Linked DNA regions of Astyanax mexicanus. The protein of the gene in region 2 purifies or fractionates together with the protein of the main gene of each other region. This does not show direct contact. Links are inferred from orthologs where the notes say so. Each region holds a gene or a part of one and is shown on either strand. Other genes may lie near its edges.

Region 1 (16,627 bases), on a different chromosome or scaffold from region 2:
AGCTGCTCCTGAAACAATGCTACGGAAGTCTCTGGAAGAACGGATTGGGTTCCAGCTCCGTTTCCTGAAACTGATGAGAGTAAATCGAACTGTACTCCTCCTGACCTTCACCTTGTGTACCTTCCTCAGAACAGCTGCCGTGCAGGTGACCGACGCCGGCTCCTGTATCCGACATACAATAAGCACCCACGTGCCGGCTGCCCCGGACCCACGCCGGACCGCCGCTCGGGTTACAGCTGTGCCGGGTAGAGAGCTGAGGCGGGGTTGCGTTTCAGTTCAAACGTGGAGCAAAGGTGGTGCTTTACAGCCGCGCTACAGTTACATTCTAATGAGGGAGAGGAGAGTACACATCATTTCCTTTTATTATCCTTTTATTAACTAAAACTTTTCACTGGTAGAGTAGTATGTATTATATTGTATAAATATATATATGGCCCTATTTTAACGATTTGTAGGTGAGCCATCAACCTCGCACCGTGCAGCTTGATATATGACGTGTTAGTTTTGTCGCTATCGTAACGACAGGAAAAGTACACCTTGCACAGCTAGAAACAAAGATGAATACATGAATTAATTCTCTTAATTAATCATGGGTGTTTTGGGCGTAATGTAAAACAAACCAACCAGCGTGTCACTTGCCATTTCCCTTAAGAGCCAGGTGTGAAAATAGACAGTTGGCGGAGTCAAAGATAGCAATGAGCATGGCAACACACCTTGTGCAGGCTATAAGACTGGGTCCATAATGTCTGTAGTCTGTAGTAACTGTTAGTATACTCTGTACAGTCATTCTTACACTTCTCCACAGCTCAATTCTGGAGAATTTTATACCTTTCTAGCCAATGCTGGCATTAGGCATTGGAAAAAAAATAAGAGACCACTTAAAAATGATGAGTTTCTTTGATTTTTTACTAATTGAAAACCTCTGGAATATAATCAAGAGGAAGATGGATGATCACAAGCTTGAATTCTTTCTCCAGGAGTGGCATAAATTTATCCAAAAGCAGTGTGTAAGACTAGTGGAGGAGAACATGCCAAGATGCATGAAAACTGTTATTTCACCAAATATTGATTTCTGAACTCTGCATCTTTTTTGTTATTTCAGCCATTTCTCATTTTCTGCAAATAAATGCTCAAAATGACAATATTTTTATTTGGAATTTGGGAGAAATGTTGTCTATAGTTTCTAGAATAAAACAACAATGAACAGTTTATTTAAACATATACCTATAAATAGCAAAATCAGAGAAACTGATTCAGAAACTGAAGTAGTCTCTTAACTGTTTTCCAGAGCTGTATGACTAAAAACATTTTATTTGACAAATTAGATTTTTCCTGACAGCTTACAATCAAACTCAATCCAGGCCTCTGCAGTCGTACCGGATGCTCCACTGAAGCCTGATCTGCAGATCCTCTAATCAATCCTAATCAATACCTCCTGTGTATTAATCTCCACTGCAGTATCTGTGAATGAAACTCTCCACATGCTCAAATCAATCAGTCAGTAACCTGAAGTCCTAAAGTCTCCGTCAATAAACGCTGCAATCAGCAGCTCGGTTTTGGCAACAGTGTCACGTGACCAGACCCAATTGAATGTCCTTGAAGACGGGTCATTGTCTGGTGTCCTCTCTTCCTCCAGGCTGCTCAGGTTTTTTTTCAGTCTGTCCATTAATTGCCTGGTTCCATAACTGGGACTTGTAAAGTGTTGTAACGGGGTGTAAAGTATCGAGGTGTAACAAAGTATTGTCGCATGATGCATTGCAATGGAAAAATTGGATAATGTGCAACCCGGAAACATACAATTCCATATTCTGTTTATGAAATGTTATGCAGTTGCAGTTGCATTATTTAAAAACAAGAGTTTGCAATCCCGCTAATGAGAAAAGGCCAGATAACCAGTGGACGTAAACAAAGGGTGGAGGTTAGATCAGTAAATTATTTTATTTTGAGTGAAGCCAAACACACAAGTGTTTTTTTTCCGCACTATGTGTCTTTGTCTTTTCAAAAAAGATGACAGATCCTCCAACAAGCTCTCACAACCCAAACAGAACAACAGATTACCAATAATGTTGTGGAGGAATTTTAAATGGAAATACTTCAGTAGATAAAAATAAGTAGAGTAATGAATTATTAACATTTCCTGTGTTATAATTTAATTGAAGATTTCCTAAATAATCAAATGATTATTGAGAAATAAAACAGCACAGTAGTTTACTAACGCTTAGAACAGTACAGAGAGCATTTATACAAGGTGAAAAAAAAAGTTTTTGTGATTTTTATCAGTGAAAATTTGTTACAAATATTGTGAGAAATTGAAGTTTGTGAGCACAGTTCATCGTTACACCCCCCTAATACATACTGTAATTAACTTTATTTAATATTACAGTATATAATATTGGTCTTTGGATATATACAAATTTGGAAAAATTAAGGGACCACTTCAGTTTCTGAATCAGTTTCTCTGATTTTGTAAAATGAACATTGTTGTTTTATTCTATAAACTATGGACAACATTTCTCCCAAATTCCAAATAAAAAATGTTGTAATTTAAAGCATTTATTTGCAGAAAATTAGAAATTGCTGAAGATGTAGAGGTTTTAGACCTCAGACAATGCAAAGAAAACAAGTGCTTATTCTTAAAGATTTAAGAGTTCAGAAATCAATATTTGGTGGAATAACCCTGGTTTTTAATCACAGTTTTCATGCATCTTGGCATGTTCTCCTCCACCAGTCTTACACACTGCTTTTGGATAACTTTATCACTCCTGGGGCAAAAATTCAAGCAGTTCAGCTTGGTTTGATGGCTTGTGATAATCCTTTTTCCTCTTGATTATATTCCAGAGGTTTTCAATTTGGTTAAATAAAAAAACTCAATGTTAAGTGGTCTCATTTTTTTCCCAGTGCTGTACGTTTTTTAGATGATTTCATCCTAATGAAGACAGATTAAATTGAATTAAAGTGATTAATTATGGTTAAATTTTAGTAACCATTGTTGAGCTGGGCTCCACGAGTAACAAATATCAGCAGCTGGGCTCCTTTTCTGACTGAACACATCACTCACACTGTAGTGTACGTTACACTGGTGACTCTGGCAACCCTGGTCCTGCAGCATCACCTGAACGGGGCGAGTGCTAAGCTAATATTTGGTTGTGGTGGGGAAGCGCACAGTGATAAATTAACTATGGCTGTAATCTGAGCAGGAAGTGTGGGTCGGGCTGAGAGGAGCAGACGGGGTGCAGAGATTCTGCTGAGTCTGCAGCGTCTGCAAGCTGAGCTCCGGCAGCCGTGCTGCTACTACACTCACTCTCACACCAGAGAAAGTCTCTAGAGTCTCGCTCTCGCACGCCTGCTGTAGCTGAACGTTTCCCTATCCCTCGCTTTCTCTCTCTCCATCTACTGAAGACGTATGATCTCTTCTTCTGCTAACAGATCTGCATCTTTCTCTCTCTCCCTCTCTCTCTTCCTCCCTCTCTCTTTTTGTATATCTCTCCTCTTTGTGACACTCTATATCTCTCCGTGCAGTGGTGGCTCAGTGGTTAGAGCATTGGGTTATTGATGGCAGGGTTATGGGGATCAACAAGCTGCCGCTGTTCAGCCTTTGAGCAATACTTAACCTTAACCATCTCTGCTCTGCAGTAGGGGTGGGACAAAATATTGATATTGCGATTTATTGTACGATTTTCATTTGTGATACAATTATTAATACGTGGCAGCAAATATCAACAATTTATTGAAGCATGAGCACTCTAAACTCCGTAGGATTCTCCATCCAATCTGACTTACTAATGTTCCTGCTTCATTACACCGTGTGGTGGCGCTATAATCTAATGAATAGGGTTAATAAACATGCAGTGAAGAATATTGGAATATTGGTTGTTCAATTCTGTATAACTGAAACACCAATGAATCCATCATTACTGGTACTTGCTTATTTAGGAGTATTTTATTCTCTTCAGCAACACAGGTGCTGTAAAGTATGGTAGAGAACTGTATTGTAATATACGGAAAATCGCAAAATCTGTATTGAGTATCTTATTAAGACTTTATTATTTCTAATTAATAAAAAGTTATTACCTTAAACCTACATATTTAGCATTTTAATAAAATTAATCTTTCATTATCTGTAATTTATCATATCTGTCTTTCTTCAATCTCTGTCTATATTGATCTCTTTCTTTATATACATCCTCTCACTCCCTCATCTCTCGCTCTCTCTCTCCATCTTCTCTCTCCCTCCATCATCTCTCTCTCTCTCTGAAATAAAAAAAAGAAAGAACAGGCAGTACTAATATTACATCACCGCTCACCCACAGCTTCACTCCTACAGAACACACACACATACACACAAACAGGAACACACAGTAACCTGTATTAGAGTGAAGTGATGATAGCGGTAATAAGAAGGTGCTGCTGATCTGTGTAATTACTGTGAATGTTACTGTGATCTAAACTCTAAAGCCTGGTTTCGGTTCAGTCAGGTTCAAACACTCTTCCAATTCTGACTCATCATCTGTCAAAATAAAGTCCGGCACCAAGTCTAAAAACAGAGCAGATGCTTACCACATTTTTCACACTATAAGGTGCACTTAAAATCTTTAAATTTTCCCCAAAATCGACAGTGCGCCTTATAATCCGGTGCCCCTTATATAAGAATTCTACTAGTCAGGTATTAAGGAGCAGTAAAGTCAATCAGTTTTCAGTGATGTTTCCCCAGCATTAAGGTTGGGTGCAGCAGCATTAGCATTAGCTGCTAACCGCTTTTCCTTCACTACATAAATACATATTACGCTTTAAGCACCCCCTTGTGGACAGCTGCACACAAGCATATGTGTACATAAAAGATATACATAAGCAGCATTTGAAGTGAGAGAAGCATGTGGACTGTAGACAGAAGAGGTAGAGTAATATTACAATATTTCACACTAATATGATTATAGGTCACGCAGTATTTCACAATTCTGGAGAGAGATCTTGTGCAGCTTCACCAAAGTTCCGTAGTGCAGTAGCAGCAGCTCAGAGAGTGAATGATAGCTATTCTCCCCATTGCAGTACCATTTTGAGGTGAAGCCAATAATCATCACAGAAACTACAGAAGCCCGGAATTTACAAATTCTGCATTATCACTTCATTTCTGACTGGAATTTCATCAAACAGGATAAACAGGATCACAACACTGACCTTTGACCTCACAGATCTCATCATTCATTCTGAATGAGAGCAGCAAAAGCTTCAGCAAATCACTAAACCTGCCCGAAACTGGCTGATCCTGTCTGAACACAAGACCAGGTCTAAAAACTGCTGGCTCGGCCTCACTCAACCCCCTGCACAGACAGCACTGCTGCTCAGACGTCCCTACAGACTCAGCGTTCCTTCCCTCGCTTACAGCCTACACACATTCTCTGCAGAAAGAGGAAACTTATATAGAAACAAACAACAAATACACACAATTCAGCCCACAGCTGTGCCTCAAGTGCTGTTTTTCAACTGAACGGTCATATACACAAGCATAACTCAGCATTTCAAAAGTGTCTTACACAACTTCACTGCCAGCACCAGAGTAAAAGCACCATTAAAGGAGAAATCCGTTTTAAAATTGACTTTATGGGGTTTAATGAAAGAGTGAAACATGATACAAACTTTTGTGGAATAGCCCACCAGCTATTTTCCCTCAGCATCCCCAAATACAGCGCTTTTAGCCAATGCTTGCAACAGGCCACAATGCTAGCATATCGCCAATAATTTCATTTTCGCAAAATAAATAAATAAATAAAAATATTTGTGATATTATGTTATGGCTATATCACCCAACCCTACTAAGGACAATTGAAAAATAACATTATTAATAAAATCAGGTATTGTCACTATAAATTATACCATTGATGAAACCAGAAACTAGGAAAAAAATGAACAATTATACCAGATATTAATGCCAATATACGATAACACCATAAAACAAATTTAAATAAACCAGGTCCTAGAAAATAACATGATCAATTAAATCAGACACCTATAAAACACCACCACTAATAAATCCACTTACAAGTAAATAATATGATTAAAGACATTGGTAATTAATGGCACTATATTAGAACACCATTACCAGTAATAAAAAAGGCTACAGGTGTCACTGTAATAAGACAATTATTTGCAATGACGATTACTCTGTAATCTTGTACTTTTGCTACTACATACTGCATTTCTGTACCTGTACCCACCTTTACTCTGCACAATGACAGTAAAGTTTAATTGTAATCTAATCTAATCTAACATACTAGTGTGAGTAGCCGGTCACAATAATTACATTATAGACTTACTGTACAAAATATGGTGTAATATCATTTATTACAGGTATATTTTTCAATATCAATTATTCAGGCCTGTAATTGTATTTCAATCCTGATGATTAATGAATGTTGATAAGATTAAAAGTTTGCTGCCATTTAAAAAGGTGTAATCATATGTGCCTTATTATGTCATTGTGTTTTCAAATATTATTATATTTGTGACATTAATGGTCTTAAAATTACAATAATATTGTTTATTTATTCCATTACTCTGGGACAACATAACAATATATCAGCTGAAGCAAAATAGCTATTGTGACAGGACTGATGAGTGTGACTACAATGATAACACAATAGTCACAATACACAATACTAATGTATAAAACTGTTAATTAAAACATAAAACACATACTAGTGCCACTGTAATGACACGATTTAAAAACACTAGGCATTAGTGGCATTATACTGTATAATAACATATGTTATTACCTTGGTTATTTTCTTCAGGTACTATTGTTACTATAATAAAACCAGGTAATAGCAGCAGTGCTCTTAGCGACATTAGGGTAATTAGTAGCTGTGCTGTTTACTGACCTCCTGAGTTTCCTGCCCATGGTTTTGTCCCACTGCCCGTCTCCTCCGGAGCTCTGCTTGCCGTCCAGCAGCGCCCTGTCGGCGGCGTCGTGCTGCTGCTCTGCGCCGGGGGACGGGTTCCGTTTTCTCATCCCTGCAGCGGGACAGGAGCAGAGGATCAGCGGGGGAGCGAGGCGAGGTTCCGGGGGCGGTGAGCGCGGGGCGGCCGGAGGGTCGGTAGCTGATCAGGCGGGGGGTGGACGGTCGGACCGGGAGCTGTGATCTCTGAGATCTCTCCTCTACATTGTTTGCTGAAGTGAGAGATCCGCAGAGAGCAGCTGATCACAACAACCTTTACCCAGGTTCCCCCTCAGCCAATCAGCAAACCAGCGTTGAGGTGGGAACCAATGAGCGGAGAGATATCGCTACAGGTTCCCCCCGGTACCACGACAGCCAATCAGAGACGCCGTTTCTCTCACAGTTCGGGTCGAGTGGCCAATCAGAGCGAGACCGTTTGTGTTGCAAAGTTCACACATGCGTGCGATAGTTCCACTCCACCTTAAAAACCTCACGCAGTGCTTTTTAAGGTGGAACTAAACACCAGGAAACGAGTTAAAGAAGTTGTAACGCGCTTTGATGACAGACTGCAATTCACAGCCTGTTTATTTATCCTTTCGCAAACCGGTAATTCCAGTTTAGGGGGATTAGTTTCATGAGGAGGTTTCAGTGCAGTTTAGGATGAAGATGAAGAACACTTTTTTTTGTGTACTAAACAATATGCATCCGCGTGTGTTCATTTAACGTTATAGCTTTAATATAGTCTTTAGTATTACATTTACAATGTAAAAAATCATAAAAAGAAAAAAAACACACTGAATGAGAAATGAGAAGAGGTGTTATATTTTATACTCACACAGCTCTGAAAAATAAATTAAGAGACCACTTCAGTTTCTGAATCAGTTTCTTTGATTTTGCTATTTATAGGTATATATTTGAGTAAAATGAAAAGTGTTGTTTTATTCTATAAACTACGGACAACATGTCTCCCAAATTCCAAATAAAAATACTGTCATTTAGAGCATTTATTTGCAGAAAATGAGAAATGGTCATTTTAGCAAAAAGAATGCAGAGCTTTCAAACTCAAAATAATGCAAAAAACAAGTTCATATTCATAAAGTTTTAGGAGTTCAGAAATTAATATTTGGTAGAATAACCCTGTTTTTTAACCACAGTTTTCATGCATCTTGGCATGTTCTTCTCCACCTTACACACCCCCAGTCTTACTTTTGGATAACATAATGCCACTCCTGGTTTGGTTTGATGGCTTGTGATCATCCATCTTCCTCTTGATTATATTTAAGAGCTTTTCAATTTGGTAAAATCAAATAAACTTATGATTTTTAAGTGGTCTATTATTATTTTTCCAGAGCTGTATTGACATCACTGCAATAAAACACAACAGAATGTGATCATCAGTACTTACCGAAGTATCAAGGTAGAAACAATAAACTTAATTATGATTAAATGAGGGAATTATTTAGTAAATTGAGGGAATGATTTTTTCAATTGAAGGACTGATTTATTAAATTACGAGAATGATTTATTAAATTACGGGAAGAATAAATGAAACCAGGGTAACATATTTTGTCTAATATTCAATTTTGCTACCTTGATAGCTACTTTAGAAGATTAGTAGTGGCTTATCTGGTCTATTTAGTGTGTGTAGGTGGATAAGAGTTAGATTAAAATTTAAAGTAACCAGCAGTGTTAATCTGCTACTGTCAAATAACTCAAATACAACCAGTTTATAATTCAAATTACTGAGTAAATATGACCTTTCCATCATATCCTAAAGGCAATGTGACTCTAAACAGTACAGTAAGTTAGTTAGCATTAAGTAGTTGCATTAGCTAGTTAGCATAGCTTTCATCTGAGCCCCGTTAAACATGCAGATATTAAAACTTTCATTTAATAAAATATTTTTTACTAACATGCGAACAGTATAAAACAGTAAATCGAATGTGCTGGATGAAGAGATTTATTATTTAGCTAATTTAGTAGTAAACTTTAGGGGGACTTTTATTTGAGGTTAGCTTTAGCTGTGGGTCTGCGGGCTCTTACCCCGCTGTGAGTCTGCGGGAGCTGTGGGAGAGTCTCGGCGGTGTTCAGGAGGTCTCTCTGCGGGAAACAGAGCTGCAGACCCCGGGTTTAATCTGACAGTTTCTCCGGGTTTCCTCCATAACTCCGCTCCACACTCAGCCCTGAAGCTTCTCTCCTTCACAGCCGCGTTTTTCAGTTTCCTTTCACGTGACCAAAACAACGCTGCGTCACAGAGCCACGTGGTTCTGATTAAACGATATGAAAAGATTGAATATAATAATAAATATCTGTACATTTGTACATGTCACATATTTCTTTCAAAACCGAATTTCATAATTTTTTTTAAATATTATAAAAATTACATTCTGGTCATAGAATATTCAAGTAATAAGAAGGCATTAAATTATATACTAGCATTTAAATATAATTTAGGCCATGTAAAAAAAAAAAATTAAATAGTTTTGGTATAATATAAATTCCTATTCATTGTTTATAATGTATAGGCCATTTTTTCTCCTAATAGTAAACAAACAGTTTTCCATAGCTGTTATTCTAGCTCATATCCATGCAGTTTCAATATCAGAGCATTTTCTACTTTTATTCCTTTTATAAGATCGTGAGATGTTTCTGATTTTATGGAAATTTTATAAACACAAAAAGTTACATTGCGCTTATAGAATACTTAAGTAATAAGAAGGCATTCAAACAATCCATATGATTCATTAACTTAACATAAAACAATATGACAGAAATATTTGTACTCTTTATAGACAGATAGATGTATATAGATAGATAGATCTTTTAAAATTTCTGCATAAACTGACCTAAAACTTTTTATACAAAAATATTTTATACAGGTCCTAAAAGTAAATTAAGAATTAGGATTTGTGAGTGACAAAAGAATGTAAACCTTTTCGAATTGTTCCAGCAAATTCTGAAAGAAAAGAAAAGCATGTTTGTGAGCTGAATCTCAATAAAACGTGGGCCATGCAGCAAGACAACGACCAAAGAACAAATGCTGTCCTACCAAAGAATGGTCAAAACTCACCAACATAACCGAACTGTGAAACTTTCTTTTCATTTTCCACATTGTAGATTAATACTAAATACAAAAAAACAATTATGGGACACATATGGAATCATGTAGTAAACAGTAGAAGTGATTGACCTCCATCTGACCAATCCCCTGATCTAAACTTGATCAAATGAAATGGCGATGTGGGATGAGATGGAGCTTCACAGCATTTAGAAAAAGCAGCAACTATTTTTCTGCACCTCAGGAACTCTTTCTAGGCTCTGATAAAACTTTTTCCAGATGACTCTTCCTCATGAAGACACTAAGATTAAAATAACAAGAGTGTACAGATCTGTCCTTAAGGATAAATGTGCTACTAAGAAGATTCTCAAATATAAAACATATTCTGGTTTAACACATTTCTTTTTCCACATATGTGTTCCTGTAGAGCTTTTATATAGTCTTTAATATAAAATGTACAATGTTAAAAACCATAAACAGAAAGAAAACACAAAAGAAGAGGTGTGTCCAGAATTGAAACAGGTACTGTATATATTCTATATTTAACTAACTATTGTTAAAGTTTTTTTATTGCTTTTCCCCACTTCTTTAAACCTAAATCATCTTAAACCCTGGACTAGTAGATGGATAGGATTTTCTGTGTCAAAGGAAAGAAAACAAGAGGGCCATTTGTTTATTTCTGACCTCAGCATTTTAAAATGGGTGAAAAGTAAAACTCTGACAAACTTGAAACCCACACAGAGAGAGCTAGGCCAGGGCTGCTCTTTGGGACTTCTGGCCTCAAATTGTCATATCTTAGGAGGAAATTAGACTATCACAGCACATTTTACAGCTTAAACTGTCAAACGTCTACTGTTAAACACAACTTTTAACAGGTTAACAGGTGGATTAAGAAGGTAGGAGAGGAAACAATTCAAATCTATGCTTTACAGAAACTGTAACTCTCTGTAGGATTGAGTGAGAGACTCTCTCCTTACTCTCCTGGAGCAACCAGGACTGGGTTTATACCTCTTTAGGTGTATGCCTTTTAATGAATGCTCCAGGGATTAATAAACCCTCAATGAAAACCCCAAACAGACAAACAAAAGTGAAAATGAAGAGTACTTGTTTTATTGTTCTGAAAGGCAGGGTATATTTGCAGGCTAATAAGAAACTCCAACATTTACACTAATATTTACATCAAACCTGCTCAAACACACTTCAAATCCACCCACCTGTTTATTGCCAGGTTTGGTAGGTCTGGGATATCAGTAGACTATGCTGGACTCTGGCCCCTGTGACCCACCCCTGATATATACTATCACCTTAGCGTTAGATGGATTGTGGCATATTAATGGTTAAGGTTTTACAAACCAGCTTTTGCTGTATTTCTGTCAATTTATCATCAAGGATGCACTAAAAAGCAAACACACACACATAGATAAATTAGATGATTCACATTTGAACAATTCTACACTTAAAAAAACCCTAAATCTTAGAAAGTAATATTATCTAATTTATATATATATATATATATATATATATATATATATATATATATATATATATATATATATATATATATATTTTTTTTACTAAGCATTGTGTAAGTGTAAGATTGTTTTGCTTATTTTAGGAATAATAAACTTAACTAAGTCTTACTTAGAAATTTCACATTGTTTTAAGTGATTTAAAACTCAACATAAGCACAACGAAAATTTGGTAGTTTTATTTAGCTTAATATAAGCATATACATCTCAACGTATATATATATTTTATGGTGTATTAACGTTGTTTCTGTTTGTGTTGCGTTGCTGTGCCACTGTCTGACACTAGAGGGAAGCATATCTCCACCCAGCCAGCACATATAAAGCATGGTCATTTTGTACACATTTTATACACTAAACAACATCTCTTGGTAAAGTGTATGTCCAAAAGTTTGTGGACACTCATTATTACTCTTCTTAGTAAAATACACTGCTTTTACGGGCACTTACACACAGCAGTACATATAAACTAACTAGCCCAAAATATATGTATAAAAAAAAAAATATATATATATATATATATATATATGTATATTTGTGAAGCAAACGGAAGCAAACGGCAAAACAATAATGCATGTACGACTTAGTATATATTTTTTAAGGGATTTATTATTTATAATAGTATTGATTAATATTTACCTTAAAGTAGTTAATAATATTGAAACATCAGTGTTTTATAAGTTCTTTTAGAACAGTTTTATATTCTAGTTACGAACATTTAATAACATAATTAGCAAACAAACAAAAAAGAAACTGACTTTTACTTACTTATTTTTGTCTTCTCCTCTTTAACTTTTTTTTTCATCACCTTGTGATTTCTGGTTTCTTGTTTTTTTATGTCGTTATATATGGTAGGTAAATCCTGTCAAAAATAAAACACTAAAATGAAAATGCAAATACCGTTTTGCTATTTCTTTTTCCAAATGTGTGAAAATATTATGATAAATTAAAAACAATATTAAATCAATTAAATCATTACGGTGTTCAGCCCTTTGAGCTTCTATTGACCCACACCTGGTCCTGTTAGTATAAATACCCCTCTGTTTCAGTTCCTCCTTGCCAGGTATTGAATCTAGCTTGATAGCTCCTCCACCACTACTTTTGTTTTGTTTTCCTTTGTGTGTTTTTTTTTGTTTGTTTGTTTTTTACCACTCTCTTGCTTGTTTTTGTATTTTGACTAATATTTTCTCCTAGTCTTTTTTACCTGTTGGATTCCTTGTGTATGACCCTTTTGCCTCCTCACTCTGGTATGTTGTTTACTATTGCTGCCATTTTGATACTGACCCTGCCTGTCTCTATCTACCCCTGCAAAGTCTAATCCCTTTGTTAATAAATTGTTTGATTGGTATCTGCGAGTGTCTGTCCTGCCTATACATATTTCATAAAACCACTAAAAAGATTATTTCAGTATTTACCACTGAAGTTTTCTGATTGGCAAATTGGCAATTCCCATATAAGTGGTTTCTGATTATTAAAAAAATCATAATAAGTGTCTACTCCTAACACTTTCTCACACTGTAAAAATGTTATAAGCAGTGCGCACATGCTAGCTCCTCCACACTTCTACATTACTGCCATGTTTTCGTCCAGTGTTTTGTCTCTTTGGTCTGTCCTTGTGTTTATTTACCCTCTGCACGTGCCCTGTGTGTATCCTGTGTCTTGTGTTTTGTGTGCTTACCTGTTCATTTGTAGGTCCGCCCACTTGTTACCCGGTCACAGGTGTTTCCCGTTTTCTGTCCTTGTCTGTGTATAAACTGAGTTTTAATGCTCTACTTACCAAAACGATGCCGGGTTTAAAACAGGCTCATAATGGCAGCTTATGGTGCGGACATAACCTGCATGGGCTCAGGTAGGGATGGACCTGATCTAAGCTCTAATGAGAGCTAACCCATCGGCTGGGTTGTTGCTATGTGTGCTACACGACTCCATCATTCCAAACCCAGCATTTATTTATGTCAAAACAACACAGCAGTTTAGCATTAGGCTAAATCTATGCAACAGTCACATGATGTAGATTGTAGCTGAATTTGGATCATGATAAAATGTAAATATGTTTACATTTGCATGTGGTTGAACTTCCTTGTCAAGAAGTGGGTTTATTTAGCTGACAGGGTCTCAAAATCAGCTCGGCTAATTGATATATAGCCCACAGAGAACTATGGCACAATGAAACATTCAGGTTCTGAGCAAAGATGAATATTATCATAATCATCATCATCATATTGTGACAGTTATTGTAGATTTTTTTTCCACAGACCAAATAAACATGTATATATAATCAACCGTGTAATTACGCAGCGGAGCCGGTGAATGGCGACGTGTAGATGGCCAGCACGGACGAGAGGGCCCGGACTCCATAAAGAGTAATTATGGTATTTAGGTGGTGCTTTATTGAATCGCCTCGTCTCAGAGTCATTAGGTGTAATGGGGTGGTCGCACCCACCCCCAACCCGCCCTCAGCCAACCAACAAACCAACCAACCAACCAATCTCCCTGTTTTAAACTCTGCTGTTCTCTGAGTTTCTCCTCTGATATGGCACTTAATCAAAGCCCTCGAGGGGGCTACACATGTCACACGCATAAGAGAAAGACAGAGAGGGACTTTGCTTATCATCCATGTTCAATACCAAATCCATCTCCTCCTCTGTGGCGCTGACAGCTGGCATTGTGGCGCGCTGAGATGTTTCCCTCCAGCGCCGATCTTCCCTTTTGTCCCGGAAACATTCGTCGCTAATTTACATATTAAGATTATGCTTCACGTCTCGGCACAAAGTGCAAGCCCTGCCTAATGTGTCACGCATGTGAGTGTCATCTCAAAAGGCCTGTGTGTTGTACGCGAGCGTGTGTTTTGAGCTCCCTCATTAAGCTGTCCCGAGCGCTTCGCCGCTCCGTGAAGTGCTGATTGCCCGCTCTTTGTTTTCCACATTCATTTATTCGTATACACACCCTGTAATCAACGCCGCAAATAAGACATTAGCGAAATAAAAGGCGAGCGCTGGCATTTGCACGCCGATGCTAACAAAAGTGCATTTACGTCGGCGGTGACTTTTTTTTTTCCTCTTCTTTTTAACTCGTCCCCCCCGAACCATCAGCGCTCACAATAGCCGACTGGAACCGTATTATAGCATTAAGAGCCGATTTAAACAGGGAAAAGTGCGGCGAGGGGGGGAGGGGGACGGCTCGCGGATCTTCGGATCCGATCAGTCATCTCTCTCCCTCCCGCTCTCCATCTCGCTCTTCATTCAGAGTGATGCTAATGATGAAATAGCTCCCTAATTCCAGTAATTACAGCGGTCAGTTTGTGGGAATGTGCGGCTGACAGCGTCTCATTGCCGAGTTCTTTGGCTCCGGGAGACATCAGTGAAAACAAAACCCCACAGAACGGAGAAGAGGGAAAAAAAAGGAGCAGCTCGCTATGCTAAGAGATTAGCATGTGTACGCTATCGCAACAAGCTGCTTAAAGAAGTAGCGGAGTTTGAGCTTGAGCTTCTCTCGAGGCCTGTGAAGCGTACAGGCGCACATAGACTCATGGAGTAGAAGTGCTGCTGAGATGTGGAGTTGAGTTGAGTTGTGTGATTTAAAATGTGAATTTAAGTCTAATCTAACACGCGCAGAGGACAGCGCAGCAACTTGGGTATGATACATTGGCTAATAGACACCTCTTGTTGACTGATATTACTTGGTGAGCAATGACGGGAAAGAGCACCATCTACCAACCCAGACAGAGAGCATGGCCAGTTGCGCTCTCTCTTGGAGTCCGGCTACTAGGGGTGTAAATCACAAGATTCATTACGATATGATACGATACGATTATTTTAGTCAACGATATGATATTGTACGCTACCTCAAATTATGTCACGATACGATACGATACTATACGATACGATATGATACGATATACTACGATACGATTCGACTTGCTAAGGGCTCCTGGTTTGTGTAACTCTTAACTCAAACATGTACTCGGCAAACAGCAGCGGAGAGTAACGGACAATAGGCGGAGAATAACACAGAGCGGAACAATGCAATGTTTAAACCTCTTACTGCAGATCCAATTTTATGCTCATTTTCATGCGATTTGCACTACTAAGATTTAAAAATGAATATCTTAAGTTTTACATATAGCACAATGACCATTCAGGGCTTAAACTGAAATAGACAGTTGGGGCAAAACAATAATTCACTTCAAGACTTTAATTTCCATTATTAAGGTTCCATTTGAGAACATCAAATGCAGAAGAAAATGTAAAAAAAAAAAAAAGCACCTGTTATATTTGGAGTTTACAATGTGTGTATGGATGTTGGTGAGGAATAGTCAATCATTCTCTACATTTCCTGATTCAGTAGTTGTAATTTATATCACAAAGCAAAGTTACACTGCATTATATTAGGTGTCCACCAGGCGTCTCCAAAGTGTTCAAAATCTCTCCAGGAGAAGCCTTCTGGAAAAAGGCTGTGACCTGATTAGATTGGACACCCACGTGATCCAGCGCTCACGCCATTGGTTCAAAAGACGATCACTCAAGAAAAGTAGTTGTTTGTGGACCAATAAAAACCACAGAATCTAGAAGACACCCTTAGCTTTGGATTCACGTACAACTTTAAGTAAAAACATTGCATGTGTGGTCGCTAGGAGCTTGAGAATATTACGTTGCGGCTGCGCTGAAACTAGGGTTGCAGCGGTAACCGGTTTCACGGTATACCATGGTATTAAAATGCACGGTTATCATACCGTGTGTGTTTGCTTATTACCGGTAAAACGCAAGCCAGCGGAGAAACTCACCCGCGCATGCGCAACTCTGCTCCGCTTCAGCTGCTCAGCACACAGCGGTGAGAACAGCAGAAAGTGCATCAGACTAAACAAATCTCCGTCCGCCTACAAAAAGGCTAAACTAAAATCAGCAGTGTGGGAATATTTCAGAGACCCGCCGAACGCACCGGAGGATGGTTATCCGATTTATAATCAATGTGGCCGTAAAGTCACAGCTAAAGGTGGACATACGTCAAACCTGTTCTCCCATCTCCAAGAACACCACCCCGCCGTGCAGCGCAAAGTATGTGTTTAGTTTATAATTTTAATCTGAACATAAATAAAATCTCTTTGTAGTCGT
Region 2 (17,234 bases):
TTTCTGAAGGTGGTTAGAAACAAAACATTTAAAATGGTCAAGTGACCCCAGCAAGCCAAGCTTTTGGGTCTCCTGTAATAATTTATTATCACAAATTTTGTTGCTGACCATGGCATAGTATCCTTGTTTTCAAGGCAAGCTTTTGAGATGGCAGCAGCATGTGGACAAGCTTTGCCCTAGTGCCCTGGAGTTTAGGTTCTGAAATGATAGGGCCAGTGGTTATAGAACCTTATTAATGTATCACTGGTGTTGTGTGACAACAAACTTAAACTGCTTCTATTCACTCCACGATAGTCTGGCACGAAACCCATCGGTTGATTCCTTCTTGATTCTACTTTTTTGATGATGAGTGTACTGTATATGAGAGGGAAAGTTGTATTTATTTATTACAATACTGTTTTATTTGGAAAATCTCTATAGTGCAATGGGAATAGCACACAAAGAAATACAGTAACATCAATAATAATAATAATAATAATACACTGTAAACAAATTATGTTCTAGTTTTACTTAAATATATAGTGCAATAATTTTGCAAGCTTGTTTTTAAATGTAACAAACAATTATTTTTTTGGTAATTTATACTTAACATCTTAAAGTGACATTACTTTATAATAAGCTTGCAAAAATGTGGCACTATGTTTTAACGTAAAAAACATATAATTTCTGTTAATTTTTACTAAAAATCTTAAATTGACATTACTGAATAATAAGGTTGAATCTTTTTTTAATGAGAAAGTTTACAGGGCTCAAGAATCATTTTTTACATTGTATAAGGGAGGGATATTATATAGATATTTTTGTTCAGGAACTATACAGCAGTATAGTATCTTAACATTAATACATATTATATATTGCTTTTGCAGCGCCCATTGTGGGAGAAGCCCCTCATGGCTACGCCGGCATTGCTGTGGCAGTAGTCTTGGTGATAATTGCTGTGGCCGGATTGGCTGCCTTCCTGTTCTTTAAAAGGCCAACGCTGCCCGTGGTTGGAGAGTGTACATTTGACAACACTCTTTACTTTAACAACCCGGCACGAGCGAGCAACACTGTTGACACCAAGGGACTGGTTGCCAACATCGAACAAAATGAGCGTGCATAACACCCCTCTACCCACAAACACACACAGCATTAAACTGAATTAAAACACACAGGACTACACTGTGTTGCAGGGTAAACAAGACAGACACACACACTGTATTTCATATTAGCTGCTTTGATTAGAAACAATTGGTCTGTTACTGGAGATCTGTTTATTCTGAAGAAAGGGAAATCCATATAAAGCAAATGCTCAGAAATTGTATAGCAGTGTATTCATATCATGTAGCATCAAAAAGCTGTTTGTTGTTTCTGTTATTGTCTGTTTCATATGATTTATTGTAAATAAATGTCTACAAAAATACAAATAGAATGAAGTGGAAATGATTAAGCAAATGTTTTTTTTTTTTTTAGTTCTTTGAGAGTTGAGCAAAAAATTAATCCCTATCTGGACAGTATTAGTTTCTCAGGGAGACGTCTGTGAAAAATAATTTACACTTCTACTTCTACTCTGTGATAAAACTCTTGCATCCGGACTGCTATTGAAAAAACAGGAGGACCAGTTTGTTTTTTGGCTTTCTCAATCACAACATCATGTTCAGTAGCTCCTCCATTTCCACTCGCTGTTGTGTTTCGTGGTTCTCCGTTAAAATGTGCGCCCAAAGTGTAATTACGGTGGGTGGCAGTAGACAAATAGCTATTTTATTAAATGCAAGGTCACGAAACTCAGAGATGTGCATCCAGACGGGTCTAAAATTACCAGAGGAGCACGGAGTTCAGCGAAAAACAGTAGATAATTCAACCTGTACTTTTTTCAGAGGACATCTGAGAAAAACACGTAGATGGTCGTTCCGGATGGAAATAAAATCACAGAGGACCCCCCATAATTAAAAAAAAAATAGGACTTCAGCTATCTTACACTTGTAGGGCATGATTTGGGAAATCTTCTTTAAAAACATGAGCATGTAAAATACACTCCATGGCCCAAAAAAAAGTCTCCATCTTGATTTTACTAAGCACGTGATCTGGGGTTGCTGTAGTTGGTCAGGTCTGGGTTCAGCAACAGTACATGCTGAAAGAATGAGGTCAGCTGACCACCTGAATATACTGAAACACACAAAGAAAACTGAACCCCACACCATGACACCAGGCCTTCTGGATGTTTGATACGTGCCAACAAACAGTTGATCTTGGAGCTGACCACAATGCCTCAATTTTTTTTATAATGTACTGTACATGAGAGGGACAGTAAATGTATTTATTATAATGCTGCTATTTTATTCAGACTATCTCTATAGTGATCGAAATAGCAAACAAAGAAATACAATAACATCAATAAGAATAGACATAGAAATTGACACTTTTTATTTTTCATTATATATATATTTGTTGCTCGCTATCCCTTATTTTTCATGGTGTGAAGAAGGGGGCCATGTTTGTTTACTTTGTGTTAAATCTTTCGGTGCAGCAGCGAACCATTGATATAGGTTACACCCACGTTTACAGGATGTCGTGCTTACTAAAATAAGAGCAGAATTTTGCTTGAACCACAGTGTTTTGAACACAACACAAAAAATATATTTTTTTTGGTTTGAAAAGCTCCATTGAAAGTCCCACAGAAAAGGAGCTGTGTCTATAGTGGACAGGTCTAAGTTTAACACATTCAAACAATTGCCCATACATCCTCTATTTCCATTTTATATAGGATAAACCAACACCAGAACATCCTATCCCAGAGGAACAGGTTCCAATGTTTTTACTCCACAGAATGGTAAGAAAAGACATATAAACATTTGGGAGGATGTATTAAATGTAGCTCCTTCAAACACAGACCCAGCGGACATGGAATGCAGTGGACATAAGGTAGCTAGCTAGTGAGCTAGCTCCACAGAGCACACCTGTGTTTTTGTGTGTTTGTGTGAAAGCTGGTTAGCTATGCTGTAAATAAGATTAAATACCCTGTTATTTAGCATAGCTAGCAACTTTATACCATATTTTTCGCACTATAAGGCGCACTTAAAGTTCTTTATTTTCCCAAAAATAATCAGTGCTTATTTTAATCCAGTGCGCCTTATGTATGAATTTTACCAGTCAGGTTGTAAGCAGCAGTAAAGACACTCTGCTGAAGTACAGCATAATGCAGCACTGGGGCTGGAGTAGCATTAGTATTAGCCGCCAACCGCTATTTCCCCATTCCCGGGTATTATTGGCCTGTAGTCCGCTCCAAACACCGGTTAGCACTGCTTGAGCAGCATAAGCATAGTCACTAACCGCGCTCACTATTTCACTGTTTAGAGGTGAGTATTATCGGCCAGTGGCCCTGCTAGCCCTGCTAGCGGCTAGTTAGTCGCTAATCCTAATGTTCCAGCCTTAGTGCTGGAGAAATTCATGAATCTACACTTAATGTAAGTAAACGGAAGTGCTTTACTCACCCAAATAAACAGATGTAGATTAACATCCAGTGCTCGTTTGACTTTAAAAGAAAGTCTTTTTATTGCAGTTTTGTTTACTTAGCTTAGCATTACTTAACTTAGTTAGCTAAGCTAAGTTATGTGTGTGTAATATGTATTACACACACATTAGAACACAAACACTGAGTGGCATTAATGCGTCTCATTGTCTCCAGATCTGTCAGCAATGACTAGCCGTAACTTTCCAGTATCCACAAAGCCAAATATGAACAGCACCTGTTCAGTGTTGTAGAAAAGAAAATGAAAGGTGGGCTACTCCCACCTCTCGTCCGGGGTACAACTCCCCTGCGTGTTCGTTTGATAGAGAGAGTCAGACAGGTGGAGTGAAGCTGAAAGCAAACCAAGTATTTATTACAAAGTACTGAATATTCAGGAGAACCAATACATATAAGACAGTGTTACAGCCGACTCAGTAAGAGTTCTGAACCTCCTTCTGATCTGACTCCACGTTTATACCCCAAAATGACGTGCGACCTGCTGATGAGGCGTTGTTAGAATGTTAGAATCATTTCATGTTAGTAGGCACATTCTCACGTGTTAGAGTTCACAGGTCTGACCGAACCACTAGTGTTTGGCCTTGAATCGTCATCAAGATGGCGCCGAGCATGGCTGCCGTGTTGCGAGCTCCCACTTATTTTAGCAGTTTTTCTTTGTTTTTGTGTTTGCTTGTTACTCTTTTTGCACTGAATGTTACTGGCATCGTCACATACGACCGACAAACACTCCTGGGAATCAGATCGTCGATCACTCACCGCAAACCGGACTTTGAGTTCCACAACGCTGATCCTTTGTTGCCTAACATCGGAGAGGCTCCATTCACCTGGGTCGCCCGGCCACGCACGCGACGCAGACGCCGGAAAAGAGGCAAGCGAGCCGGTGTGCTCGTCAGGCTGAGACGCCGCGCTCACCGTCCGCCTCTTCCCACCTTGTTGCTGGCTAATGTGCAGTCCTTGGACAACAAGCTGTGCGAGCTCCACGCACGGATCGCTTTCCAGCGGGAGATACGTGACTGCAGCGTGATCTGCCTCACAGAGACCTGGCTATCCGTGGACATACCCGACCACGCCATAGAACCCGCGGGGTTCTCTCTGCACCGCGCCGACAGATCCAAAGAGCTCTCTGGGAAAAGTAAGGGAGGTGGTGTATGTTTCCTGATCAACAATGCTTGGTGTGATCGGAGGAATGTACATTTCATCGAGTCTTTCTGCTCGCCGGAGCTGGAATATCTGATCATCTCCTGCCGGCCGGTGTGGCTACCTCGTGAGATTACAGGACTGTGTTTAGCGGCAGTGTACATACACCCGCGCGCGGACTCGGAATTCGCACTCGGGAAGCTACACGAGACCATCAACAAGCAGATGACCGCGCGCCCGGAGGCTGCACTCATTGTTGCTGGGGACTTTAACCGGACAAACTTTAAAACTTTTTGTCCAGCACTGTTTCAGCACATTACATGCTTCACGCGGAAAACCCAGACGCTTGATCACTGCTACTCTAACATCCGAGGAGCCTACAAAGCCCTCCCCCGACCCCCGTTCGGCAAATCAGATCACTCCTCCATCCTGCTTCTGCCCACCTACAGGCAGAGGCTGAAACGAGAACCGCCCACCACCAAGGAGATACGCCGCTGGTCTGACCAATCGGAAGCTATGCTTCAGGACTGTTTTGATCACGTGGACTGGGAGATGTTCCGTGATTCGTCAAGCAGCATCGACGAGTACGCAGACACAGTCACCGCCTTCATTCGCAAGTGCGTGGATGACGTAATGCCCCTCAGATCAGTGCGCGTCTTCCCCAATCAGAAGCCCTGGCTGAACGGTGACGTCCGCTCCGCTCTCAGCGCACGCAGCGCCGCTTTCAGATCTGGAAATACGGAGGAGTACAAACGAGCCAGCTACGCTCTCTGTAGGACCATAAAAGCGGCCAAACGTGGGTACAGAGAGAAAGTGGAAGCACAGTTCAACACAGCCAACACCCAGAGCTTGTGGCAGGGTCTGAACATTATCACTGACTACAAGAGAAGCTCTCACACTCTGACCAGCACCAACGCTGAGCTGCCAGAGGAGCTGAACTGCTTCTACACTCGATTCGAGGCAGATCACGCTGCGCTCCCAGAGTGCGCCCCGCCCACCGCTGCGCTCCCAGAGTGCGCCCCGCCCACCGCTGCGCTCCCAGAGTGTGCCCCGCCCACCGCTGCGCTCCCAGAGTGCGCCCCGCCCACCGCTGATCCCATCCCACCCTCCGTCTCTGAAGCTGACGTGCGCAGAGCTTTTCAGCGGATAAATCCACGCAAGTCAGCTGGTCCGGATGGCATTCCCGGGAGAGTGCTTAAAGCCTGCTATAGAGAACTGGCAGCAGTCTACACGGACATTTATAATACATCACTCTCTCTCTCTGTTGTGCCAGCTTGCTTTAAACTGGCCACCATTGTGCCAGTTCCAAAGACTGCCCACACCACCTGTCTGAATGACTGGCGACCTGTTGCCCTAACCTCCATCATAAGCAAATGCTTTGAGAGGCTGGTTAGGGATATCATCTGTTCCTCACTGCCTGCCACCCTGGACCCACTGCAGTTTGCATACAGGCAGAACAGATCCACTGACGATGCGATCGCCCTGACCCTGCACACTGCCCTCTCTCACCTGGACAAGAAGGACACGTATGTGAGAATGCTGTTTGTGGACTACAGTTCAGCATTCAACACCATCGTTCCCTCGAGGCTCGACGTCAAGCTCCGGGATCTGGGTCTGAACAGCACACTGTGCAGCTGGATCCTGAACTTCCTGTCAGACCGACAGCAGGTGGTGAGGATGGGCAACATCACATCCTCCTCACTGACCCTCAACATCGGAGCGCCCCAGGGCTGTGTGCTCAGCCCGCTCCTGTACTCCCTGTACACCCACGACTGCACAGCCAGACACAGCTCCAATGTCATCATCAAATTTGCTGACGACACAACAATTGTTGGCCTGATCTCAAACAACGACGAATCGGCCTACAGAGAGGAGGTTAACATCCTGGAAAACTGGTGCCAGGAGAATAACCTCTCTCTAAACGTCAGCAAGACCAAGGAGCTGATCGTGGACTTCAGGAAGCAGGAGAAAGCATACTCGTCGATCTCCATCAACGGGACTGCGGTGGAGAGGGTCAGCAGCTTCAAGTTTCTGGGTGTTCACATCAGCGAGGATCTGACATGGACAGAACACACCACACGGGTGGTGAAGAAGGCACAACAACGCCTGTACTTCCTCAGACGGCTGAGGAGGTTTGGTCTGAACCCCATCATCCTCAGGACTTTCTACACCTGCACTGTGGAAAGCATTCTGACGGGCAGCATCACCACCTGGTATGGGAACTGTACTGCTCTGGAGCGGAAATCCCTGCAGAGGGTTGTGCGCACAGCGCAGTACATCACTGGGGTTGAGCTCCCAAACCTTTTGGATTTTTACACCAACCGCTGCCTGAGGAAATCCAAAAAGATCATGAAGGACCCGTTCCATCCAAGCCATTCCCTGTTCTCACAGCTGCCGAGTGGAAGGAGGCTCAGAAGCTTGAAGACCAGAACCAGCCGGTTCCGAGACAGCTTCTTCCCCCAAGCAACCAGGCTGTGGAATAGCCAGTAGAACGGTGTTCTGCCCAACCCACCCCACTGACACCCATACAAACTCTGCACCCTGCACTTTACTTTACACTGCATCTATCAGACTTTCCCATATTATACAGCATTCTGCCCCCTGCACTCCCCACTCAACTCATTCCTTACCTGCACTTACTCATAGCTATACTGTCACATACTGACTACTTCCACACTATCCGCATATCTACATCTGTGCATATCTGTTCTGTGCAATATTTGTCTATAGTGTAAGTTATCATGTCTATTGTAATTAAGTGTATTGTAAATAGTGTTTATACTGTAAGTTATCTGTATGTCCTATTTTTATATATTTTATTACTCTCTTGTAAATATTATTCTTTGCGCATTGGTGGGAATCTGCACCCAAGTTTTTCACTCACATGTACACCTGTACTCTGTGACGTGACAATAAAAATCTTGAATCTTGAATCTTGAATCTTGATGTGTCCAGCAGGACAAAAGTGGTATTGTTTTAAGAACTAGACAGTGTGATATTGTTTCAGTAATTAGACAGTGCAGCCCTCCCTTTGTGCGCGCTATCACCCCTCTTGGGAGATAAAAAAACAGCGCACACACAGAGTGAAAGGTCGCATTGTTCGTACCCGAGTCTCTTTTGTATCAATTCAGTTCGTACAAAGTGCTCTTGGCTGATGATTGATTGTCAGTCAGAAACATGCAGTAAATTAAATGCTTCAGGCATAAGCTGTATGTGCCCAACAATGGGCTCTATATGCCATACGTTACTGTGTTAGCAGCGCGTGGTTAGTCCGCCATATAATAGATCCTATGTGTTAATATACATCTGATGCATCATGTGGGTTAATTTCTCATAATAAGGGTAGTGTTAATCACATGCTTGATCAAACAGTGTTTTACTATGTGTGTAAAGGATATAATGTGATTATTGATTAATCTTTTATATAAATGTGTGTAAAATCCACTGTGAGTAATAAAAATGATCAGATACAATGTGAGTATTGGTTATGCATATTGAATACAAGGTTTCACACAATGATTATGTAAATACAGATACTAAGATAAGTAATCATAATTGAAAGATATTTGTCAATCAACCCAAATTATAATTAACTGAAAGATATTTGTCAATCAACCCAAAGTATAATAAACAGTTACTCTTTATCAGTTATGGGATTAGCATAGACCCGGTGGACTCCCGTCTTAAAATCGCTCTACAATGTTGCAATAATAAAACTAGTCTAAAGGCAACTAACTAGTCCGTCTGAATCTTAGCTAATCACCTGCTTAACTGATAATGAATTAATAAGGGAATATATAATGTAGCCCATTACATAGCTTCTGATGATATTTGTCCAACAACTTTTGAGCCGTTCTTAAACACTTTACAGTCCAAATATTTATTGGCCTAATTGTATAAGTTTTTATTTGATTGTACAGTGTTAATTGCATTTCACAAACATTTCACAAACTGTTTTGACCACAAGAGGTGAAGGGTTCACCTACTGACAGTACCTCACAACACACACACACACACACACACACAAACTTACACCCTGTCTGTGCCTCCTACCGCCCCCTTGATCCCTGCATAGTCATTGCTAAAATGAGGCTGATATTGCCATAGTAACCACTGACCTATGAGGCTGAAGCAGTGAGTACTAATCCTCTGAAAGTGGCACAAGCATATTTGCTCATAAGAGGGTTTTTCACTCCTGTTCTGGAATTTCTTATTTTTTCCCTGTTTCTCTTCCTCCTTAACCTGAAAGAAGGAAAACATTACTGAGGACTCCAGAGGAAGAAAAGGAAGGTACGTAACTTTAGAAGTGGACACACTTTTTACTCAAAAGTTCATGTTTGTTGTTCTGAAAGTTCTGGAAGCTCTTTGCTGATTTTGAACACTTGCAACTTTTGGTTGTGGAGTTGAGAAGATAATTAGTTAATTATTAGATAATAAGACTTTAAAGTTTCTTTTATTTCAGCTCTGTAAACTTTTTGGCTATTGAAAAGATTTGTTTTTGTTTTGGAGGTGGGCAGTTGGTTCACTCCAGTGGTCAGAGTTTGTTCTGTTGGGACTGTTGTGGTCGGCCACTACTGAGCGGTGACTGAGGCACATAGGAGGAAGGGGGGTTAACCCTTTGAGGCCTTCAGGCTTATTTCTCTGTTTGTAGTGCTAATTTGAGCTGCTACGGTCGCTATGCTGTAGCTACTGGCTAATATACTGTAGACTATGTGGTGACTAGCATGAAAATAATTACTTATAGTGTGGTTATAACAATTAGTCTTTTCCTTTAACAAGAATGCAAACAAACACTGTGAGTTTATGTGAATGCAGCCAAAACTCTACTACTCTCCTACTCTACTATGATGAGTCATGCTAAAACAACATTTGAAGTGCAAAAAATTACCTGCAAAAGTGTTCTCTTAAAGAAACACTAGGTTTCTATGTTCTGTAGTAACTCATAACAAAATCAGGATGTATCATCAGATATAAAGGAAACCTGCTGAGCTTAAGCACAGGCAGCTCTTGTCATAAGAGCTTCAGACAGTATTTTCTTAATAGAACTGTGTAGTACGTCACAGAAATCTGTGTGGGATTTAGCCTCCGAATCTGCACAATGCCATCCCCTCAGTCCCATTTTCACACCCAGTGTTGCCAGGAATAGAACACAACAGTACACAAACAGTGTGCTGCAGCCATGGTAAAGGGCAAGCTGGTTATTTTTCTGCTGAACAGGTAATCACTAAGTTTCAGTAAGGTCACTGACCATAGATGGGAAATTTACCACCACCACTAGCATAATAGAGACAGGCACTTTAGATGTTGAAACCTGTACATATCTATACTATCTACAGATTAAGAGTTAATCTGGCAACCTGCATGAGCTTTAAATCTGGATCTATACAGAAATTGGAGCCCTGTAGTCATTTTACATTTTACTCGTTTATTACTGTTTGTTCCTTTAAAGCAGGGGTCGGCACTTAAGTTATATTTTCCAAGCCATTACATTGTGGGCCACAAAAAAAATGGGATATGGGAAATGAAGTGTTATGGGATAGAGTGCTACAGCCTAGTAGCTCTCTAGCCCAGAGGGTTATTGAACCAAATTGCAGAACAGTTTAATTTAAAGCAGGTAAACCCAAGAAGAAATGAAAAATTAATAAATAAACATGCCGCTCCTCACGTGGGATCGAACCCGTGTCATCAGGGGCGGGGCACAGTCCAATACAATACTGCTGCCCTGGCTAGTGAATTGGTACACGGCTGGGGAAAAAACTCCTTTATAATGGGATAGGGAGCCACGAGTGTGCAAGAGAGGTAGGGGAAAAATGTAAACAAAAGCTCACAAGAGAAGCATTTTATATATATTTTTTTATTCATTATAGTTCAAACAACCTCACGGGCCAGATGTTTTATGTCTATTGCCAACCCCTGCTTTAAAGAGTACATTATTTGTAAGGGTAACTGTCTGTTCTTAGTGTTTAAGGCTGTAGGAGTAGGTACGGTTGAGTTGATTTCTTAACAAGTGCAAGTTCATTGTGTTATTTAAGCTCAAATTATTTGATTGAATAAAAAGCAACCGGTTTCCACAAATTATTTTAGTTCTTGTATGTAAGACAAATTTAATATAAAAAGATATTTAATTTTACTACACTCATATTATTTAATTTAATTACACTTTCTTGCTTTTCTTGTGTTTGTATGTGTTTTGTTCTGAGGCAGAGTGGGAGTCAGTCTAAAACTTTTGTCTATGTGTGTGTGTGTGTGAAGCTCATTAGTGCTGGAGGGGCCTCTCTCTGTCGTCCTCCTGCTGTTCCTGAGGCCATTAGAAAACCCCTTAATTACAATTCATTCAATTCCTCTCTCTCTCTCTCTCTCTCTCTCTCTTTCTTTCTTTCTCTGCTCTTCACGTGCTATATCTTCTCCCTGTTTCTCACTCTTTCTAAGTCCCCTTCAGTCCACTCTCTGTCTGTGACTCTTACAGCCTGCACACTTTCTCTCTAATTTCTGTGCAGATCAGTGTTTGCATCAGTGTGTGTGTGAGAGTGTGTGAGTGCCTGCATGTGTGTATGCTGCAATGCGTGGGCTGTGCAGGCCGTGGACTCTGGGGCTGCTGGGGCTTCTCAGTGCTCTGGGTAGCTGGTTGCCCTCAGTTACAGGAGGTCAGGAGGCCTTGAGACGGGCAGATGTTGGTCTACTGGTCAGCGAGATCTTCCATGTGCTCCAGTGTCCAGAACGCATCGGTGGAACCAAGGAACTCTGTGATAAGGTGAGTGTTAGTAAAACAGGGAACTGGTCCATTTAGAAACTTCACTATTAAAGTTAATCTCTCACCATTAAGACTCTAAACACAGCACACACATGGTTTGACTTTTTGATAATTCAGCATAGTTCAGATCACTCCATGCCCAGTGTAAGGAGCAGGTGCTATGGGCAGTGCTATCTGTGAGCACATGGTCAACAACTGAAACACGAGGGTGTGTATAGCTTGAAAATGCTCACAGTTTCAATATACAGTAATGACGACATCTACTGATATCCTTTTAGATATAAAGAGAACATAACATGAAGCCCAATGTCCCAAAATGCATGTGAACTTAAAGGTACTAAACTATGTTGTAAAGGCACAGCAGTATGTTTATTTACATGCTCAGGATATAAGACACACGTTACAAGTATAGTCATACTACAGCCAGACATTATACAGATTTTTTTAAGGGCTGTACGATTTGGATAAATAAAAATAGTACCTTAATATATTTTTTATGATACCGATATACAGCTCTGGAAAAAATTAAGAGATCACTTCACTTTCTAAATCAGTTTCATTGATTTTGCTATTTGTAGATATATGTTTGAGTAAAATGAATGTTGTTTTTTATTCTATAAACTACAGACAACATTTCTCCCAAATTCTAAATAAAAATATTGTCATTTACAGCAAATGTGAAATGACCAAAATAACAAAAAAGATGCAGTGCTTTCAGACATCAAATAATACAAAGAAAACAAGTTCATATAGTTTTATAAGTTAAGAAATCAATATTGTAATCACAATTTTCATGCATTCTGATATATTTACCTCCACCAGTCTTACACACTGCTTTTGGATAACTTTATGCCACTCCTGCACCGTAAGCCCGGATAAGTTGAATTAACTTAAAACATTTGAGGAAACCGGTTGCCTTAAAAAAGTTAATTAATGGGTAATGAAAACTTAAGTTAGCATAACTTAGAACATGAAGTTATTACAACTAAAGGGGAAGTTAATTTAACTTTTTTTTATTTTTGTTATATTGTTAGACCAGATAAGTTGAGTTTACTTCACTTTTTTAAGGCAGCCGGTTTGCTCAGTTTCTTTTAAGTAATGGGGAGTGAAAACTTGAGTTAGCATAAATTAAACCATCAAGTTATTACAACTAAAGGGGAACTTGATTTATTTCTAAGGTAGCCCAGGGGGAATCACTACACACTGATGGTGAGTGTCAGAAACTGTTGGACACACCCAGTATGCAAATAGATTGTGACAGAAGCCAATAGAAAAGAAGATGCCAATGACAACAGACTAAACTCAGTTATTATAAGTTGGTTCAACTCAAAGATCTCAGTTTGAATGTTTATGTGCCCAAAAAAATTCCACTAACTTAAAATAGTTGAGTATTGTTTAGAAATATCCAATTTTATGTAAAACAGAATTTATTTGAGTTCAAACAGTGTATGGGTTTACAGTGTGGTGCAAAAAAATCAAGCAGTTCAGTTTGGTTTGATGGCTTGTGATCATCCATCTTTCTCTTGATTATATTCCAGGGCTTTATAATTTGGTAAAATCAAAGTAACTCATCATTTTTAAGTGGTCTATTATTTTTTGCCAGAGATGTATATCTCAACATTTTTTCATTCCATGAGGTAATAACCAAAAAGACACTTTTGACACGAAGCTACATGCCATGATTTTATACAAGCACTTTTATTATTCAGTGCCATATTCTGTATATTATAATAGCTTAGCATTTTACATCATCAACAACTGAAAGGCAATTAAAATTACATGAATAAACAAGTTCAAGTAGCTCAAAAACAAGGGACACAAAAATATAGTGTGCTTTTGGAAAAAGTGCAGGTAGAGTGCTTGAGAATAAGTAAATAAAAAGAACAGTTTGAGTTTTCTAAAAATCTTGGTTGAAACAGTGTCAGGCCTATTCTCATACCCCTGGTCAGTCCAGGTTAGAGTGGGCGTATCTGCTCTAAAGATCAGTGTTTAGTTCAGTAGTGGCACTTCACACTGCTGCTGTTTATTAGCGATATGCGCTAACACAACAAACAAATGTTTTATTTTTTTTTAAAGAGGAAGATAGATGGCCACAATCCATCAAACCAAGGTGAACTGCTTAAATTTTTGCAGCAGGAGTGGCATAATGTTATCCAAAAGCAGTGTGTAAGACTGCTGGAGGAGAACATGCCAAGATGCACAAAAACTGTGATTAAAAAAAACAGATTTATTCCACCAAATAAAAAAAAAATTTCTGTCCTCTTAAAACTTTCTTTGCATTATTTGAGGTCTGAAAGCGCTGCATATTTTTTGTTATTTTAGCCATTTCTAATAAATGCTCTAAATGAAAGAATTTGTTTATGTAATTCGGGAGAAATATTGACCGTAGTTTATAGAATAAAACAACAATGTTCATTTTACTCAAACATAAACCTATAAATAGCAAAATCAGAGAAACTGATTCAGAAACTGAAATGGTCTCTTATTTTTTATCCAGAGCTGTATATATTTAACCTATAGCAGTTTAGCTGTGCTCACCTACTTCAAAAAGGCACAGTAACACAAACAATTAAAAAATATTTAATTAAAAATGTGTTGTGATTATTAATTCTATTATTTATACACAGTATTTCACACAAGTTTCACTTGCCTATATGCTTTGTTTAGACTATGTTTGTTAATTATGTGTTTATCTACTAATTAACAGACCCATTTTTAACATCAATCAACATAATCAGCATACTTTAAAACACTAAATAAGAAGGATCTGGGTGGCTTTGTGATATAAACAAAAGCAGGCTTCTGAATTCCTCACTGCAGGGTCACAGAGTGAATGGCACCTTTAGGGCTGAAGGATTTTTACTTGTAGTATTATAAGTGGAACTCACAGAACACACAAGAAGCTCTGTGTACAGCTATGTTCAACTTTCAGTCAAGTGTTTGTGTGCGTGTGTGATTAGATGTACAAAGCCTGACCACTATGTGCAAAGAGCTGATTAGTGCCATGCTTAAATAACAGAGGCCAAGAGGCCACTTCTTTTCCACCTTTGCAGACCTGTGGTGTTCCAGAAGGTTCTACATTAGGGCCCATTCTATTCTTAATGTGTATTTTTTTATGGTGTAGTTAATATTCCTCCCCTTAAAACATTAAAAACATTATTGGACATTGTGTGCCACTATTTAATAACAATGTAATACCTTAATTATGCAATTACACTCTTTTAAAGCATTTTCAATAATTAAGAATATTTGTACATTGGAATATAACATTTTAAATTATACCTCAGTTAGTTTCGACACTGCAATGTGATTGGTTGAGAAGAGTTTTATGAGTGACATTATTAGCCAGTAATGCACTGTAACTTTGGCCACACACAGGTAACCTAGTAATGATGCAGAGCTTACAAACCAAATACAAACCAAATGCAATGTAATTATACACCACTGAAAGGCGCTAGATCCCATAGACACAGTGCAAAAACGTCATGTCTCCAATTGGCGGCGCAAACAAAGATGCGGTCCCACAAATAAGCCCAATGATTCGAAAATACTCATTATTACACACATTTTCAGCAACTAATATCAGGTTAAGAGATGTTATTATTAAAATAAAAGCTTAAAGGTACATTCTGTAGGAACTGAGAGCGAGTGTGTGAAATGGCTACAGCAGTCCAATTTCAAAACACCACAAAGAGTAGTCTGACCCGCCCACCCCTCCCCAGCTGTGAAACTATCTAGGGTTGCCAAATTCAGCAGGCTGAAGCTACACAATCTTTACAATGTTTAGACTAGTAGGAGAGACAGAAAACTTAGGGAGTATGAGGGAGAGGAGAAATACAGCAATTCTAAACTCTTCTATCACCCGTATTTAGAGTTATACTGACTGTATTTCAAACGAGGGAGCGCCACAGTCGCCGGGAGGGAGAGCCGCGGTTGGCTGTGCCCCAAGTGAGGGAGCGTCGCGGTCAGAGGGGCTCTGATCCGCGTGAGAGACAGCTCTAGCCCTTAGTAAGCACATCTAGTTGTGGTGATAAAGTACCTGACTTTATTAGCTAGCCAGTTATCTTACCTGTTCAGAAGAAAAGTAGCAGCTCTGGGTCGGTCTTGTCGTCTTTTTGAGCTCTAACTCTCCAACTTTCAAACTCACTGCCAATATTCACTCTTGTTATATTCCTACTTTGGTCACTGAGCTTTTTTGAGACATACTGAGGCTTTTTAAGCTGTGTAGCAGCTGTGGTTTAACTGAATAAGCTCCTCTAGCTAGCTCCTTTGCTGCAGCATGGATCGCTAGTGTGGGTGCTGGCAACCTGGGGGGTGGAGTTAGTGTTGGGGAATGAGCAGCAGGCAGAGTCAGAGGACAAAACAAACACTAAATCTGGGATGGAGTGAAAACTTAAAATAGGAACGTACTGCTGAAGCTCGTGCTGCCAGTGCTTTCACTCAGCATGTTTCTTTAATATCTGATGATACATCCTGAATACTTTATCATTTACTACTGAAAATTTGTTACATATTGGTCCTTTAAGTGTATATATTTTTCAGTTAATATAGGGTATTTTAAGCTGAATGTAAAACAGGGGACCCTTGTAATTCTGCAGGTCTTGCCTCTAGGGGCGCTGAAGTATACAAAACTGTAATTTTTAATAAATAATTTTCTTTCAAAGTTAAACGAGCACTGGACTTAAATCTACACAGATTTCTCTCCTGAAAACTGTTTATTTGGGTGAGTGAAGTTCTTACGTTTATTTACAGTAAGCTAAGATTTCGAGAGTTTTGACTGAAATGGCAGAAAGTAGATGCTACCAGACTAAACTAGCTACAATGCAGCGCTTACAACAGCGCAGCTACAAACAGAGCAGCAATGGAACTATTTTAACTTATAGAGTGTTTATAACCAAACACATCATATTTTCTTGTCCTCTTTAACTCAAAATATTTTAATAAACAGCAACAATATGGTATAATCACAATAATACACTCATCGTTCGTGCTATAACATGTAATATTGGCACTGCTGTGCTGCAGTCGTATATTACACGTTATAGCACTACCTTTCGTGAATTATTGTTTAAATATTCTACATTAATAAAACATAGAGAAAACACTGTTTAAGACAAAGCCAGCATACCAGTTAATTCACGTTTTTGTGCTTTTATTTCTAACAATAACAAAAAATGTGAAATTGAGGTAAGCAAAAATGACTGAGGTCATGTTTATATACTGTATTACTTTATTTAGTTGAGTAGTTTTTGCCATAATATGGATTAGAACATTACTTAAATAGAGCTGTTCACTGTATACCAACTCTACCGCTTCACAACTTTACAACTGATGCTCTCAAACACGTTAAGAGGCAAGAAATTCAAGTCATTCACTCTTGCAAGTTCAGCACAGCTGTTAACTGAGAGCTATTCCAGGTAAATACCTCATGAAGCTGACTGAGAAAATTCAGCCAAGATGTGTCATTTAAGCAAGAAATGCTACTTTGAAGAATCTAAAAAATTAAATATATTCTGATTTGTTTAACACTTTTTTCTTTTACTAAATATTTAAATATGTTTTTTCTTCATAGTTTGGATAACATTTCCATTTATCTACAATGCAGATATTTTAATAATGAAAAAAAAATGACATTGTTACTGTATATTTGGTTGAAAATACTTATTTTATTTTTATATTATTTCTATTTTTAGTGTCTCCCTGTAAGCTGGTTGCTGTCACTAGTGGAGGACGATGGGAAAGACTTCATTAGTGAGGATAACTACCTCAAGATTTCCACAGTGCTTCTCTATTACATCATCCACATGAGACAGCTCTGCTCCTCCAACATCTCATCTTCCT

What was found.
Region 1: the proteins of zinc transporter ZIP12 (region 2) and abhd12 purify together in Homo sapiens (co-immunoprecipitation; 3 studies listed by BioGRID and IntAct, counting the BioPlex papers as one, with this or other methods). This does not show direct contact. The link is inferred for Astyanax mexicanus from reciprocal best matches to the Homo sapiens genes SLC39A12 and ABHD12.

What each region holds. Positions count from the first base shown.
Region 1 is NC_064421.1:30,146,742-30,163,368, reverse strand, and holds the start of abhd12 (lysophosphatidylserine lipase ABHD12), read right to left. Parts: upstream 9,149-16,627; 5' UTR 8,976-9,148; intron 7,009-8,975; 5' UTR 7,007-7,008; coding exon 6,876-7,006; intron 1-6,875.
Region 2 is NC_064415.1:34,116,497-34,133,730, reverse strand, and holds the start of zinc transporter ZIP12, read left to right. Parts: upstream 1-8,704; 5' UTR 8,705-8,932; intron 8,933-10,846; exon of another isoform or gene 10,847-11,139; 5' UTR 11,140-11,201; coding exon 11,202-11,393; intron 11,394-17,086; coding exon 17,087-17,234. Other genes in the region: mrc1a (macrophage mannose receptor 1), read left to right, coding at 867-1,102. UniProt on the Homo sapiens protein: Uniporter that promotes Zn(2+) import from the extracellular space to the cytoplasm across the cell membrane. The transport activity is temperature dependent. May play a role in neurulation and neurite extension.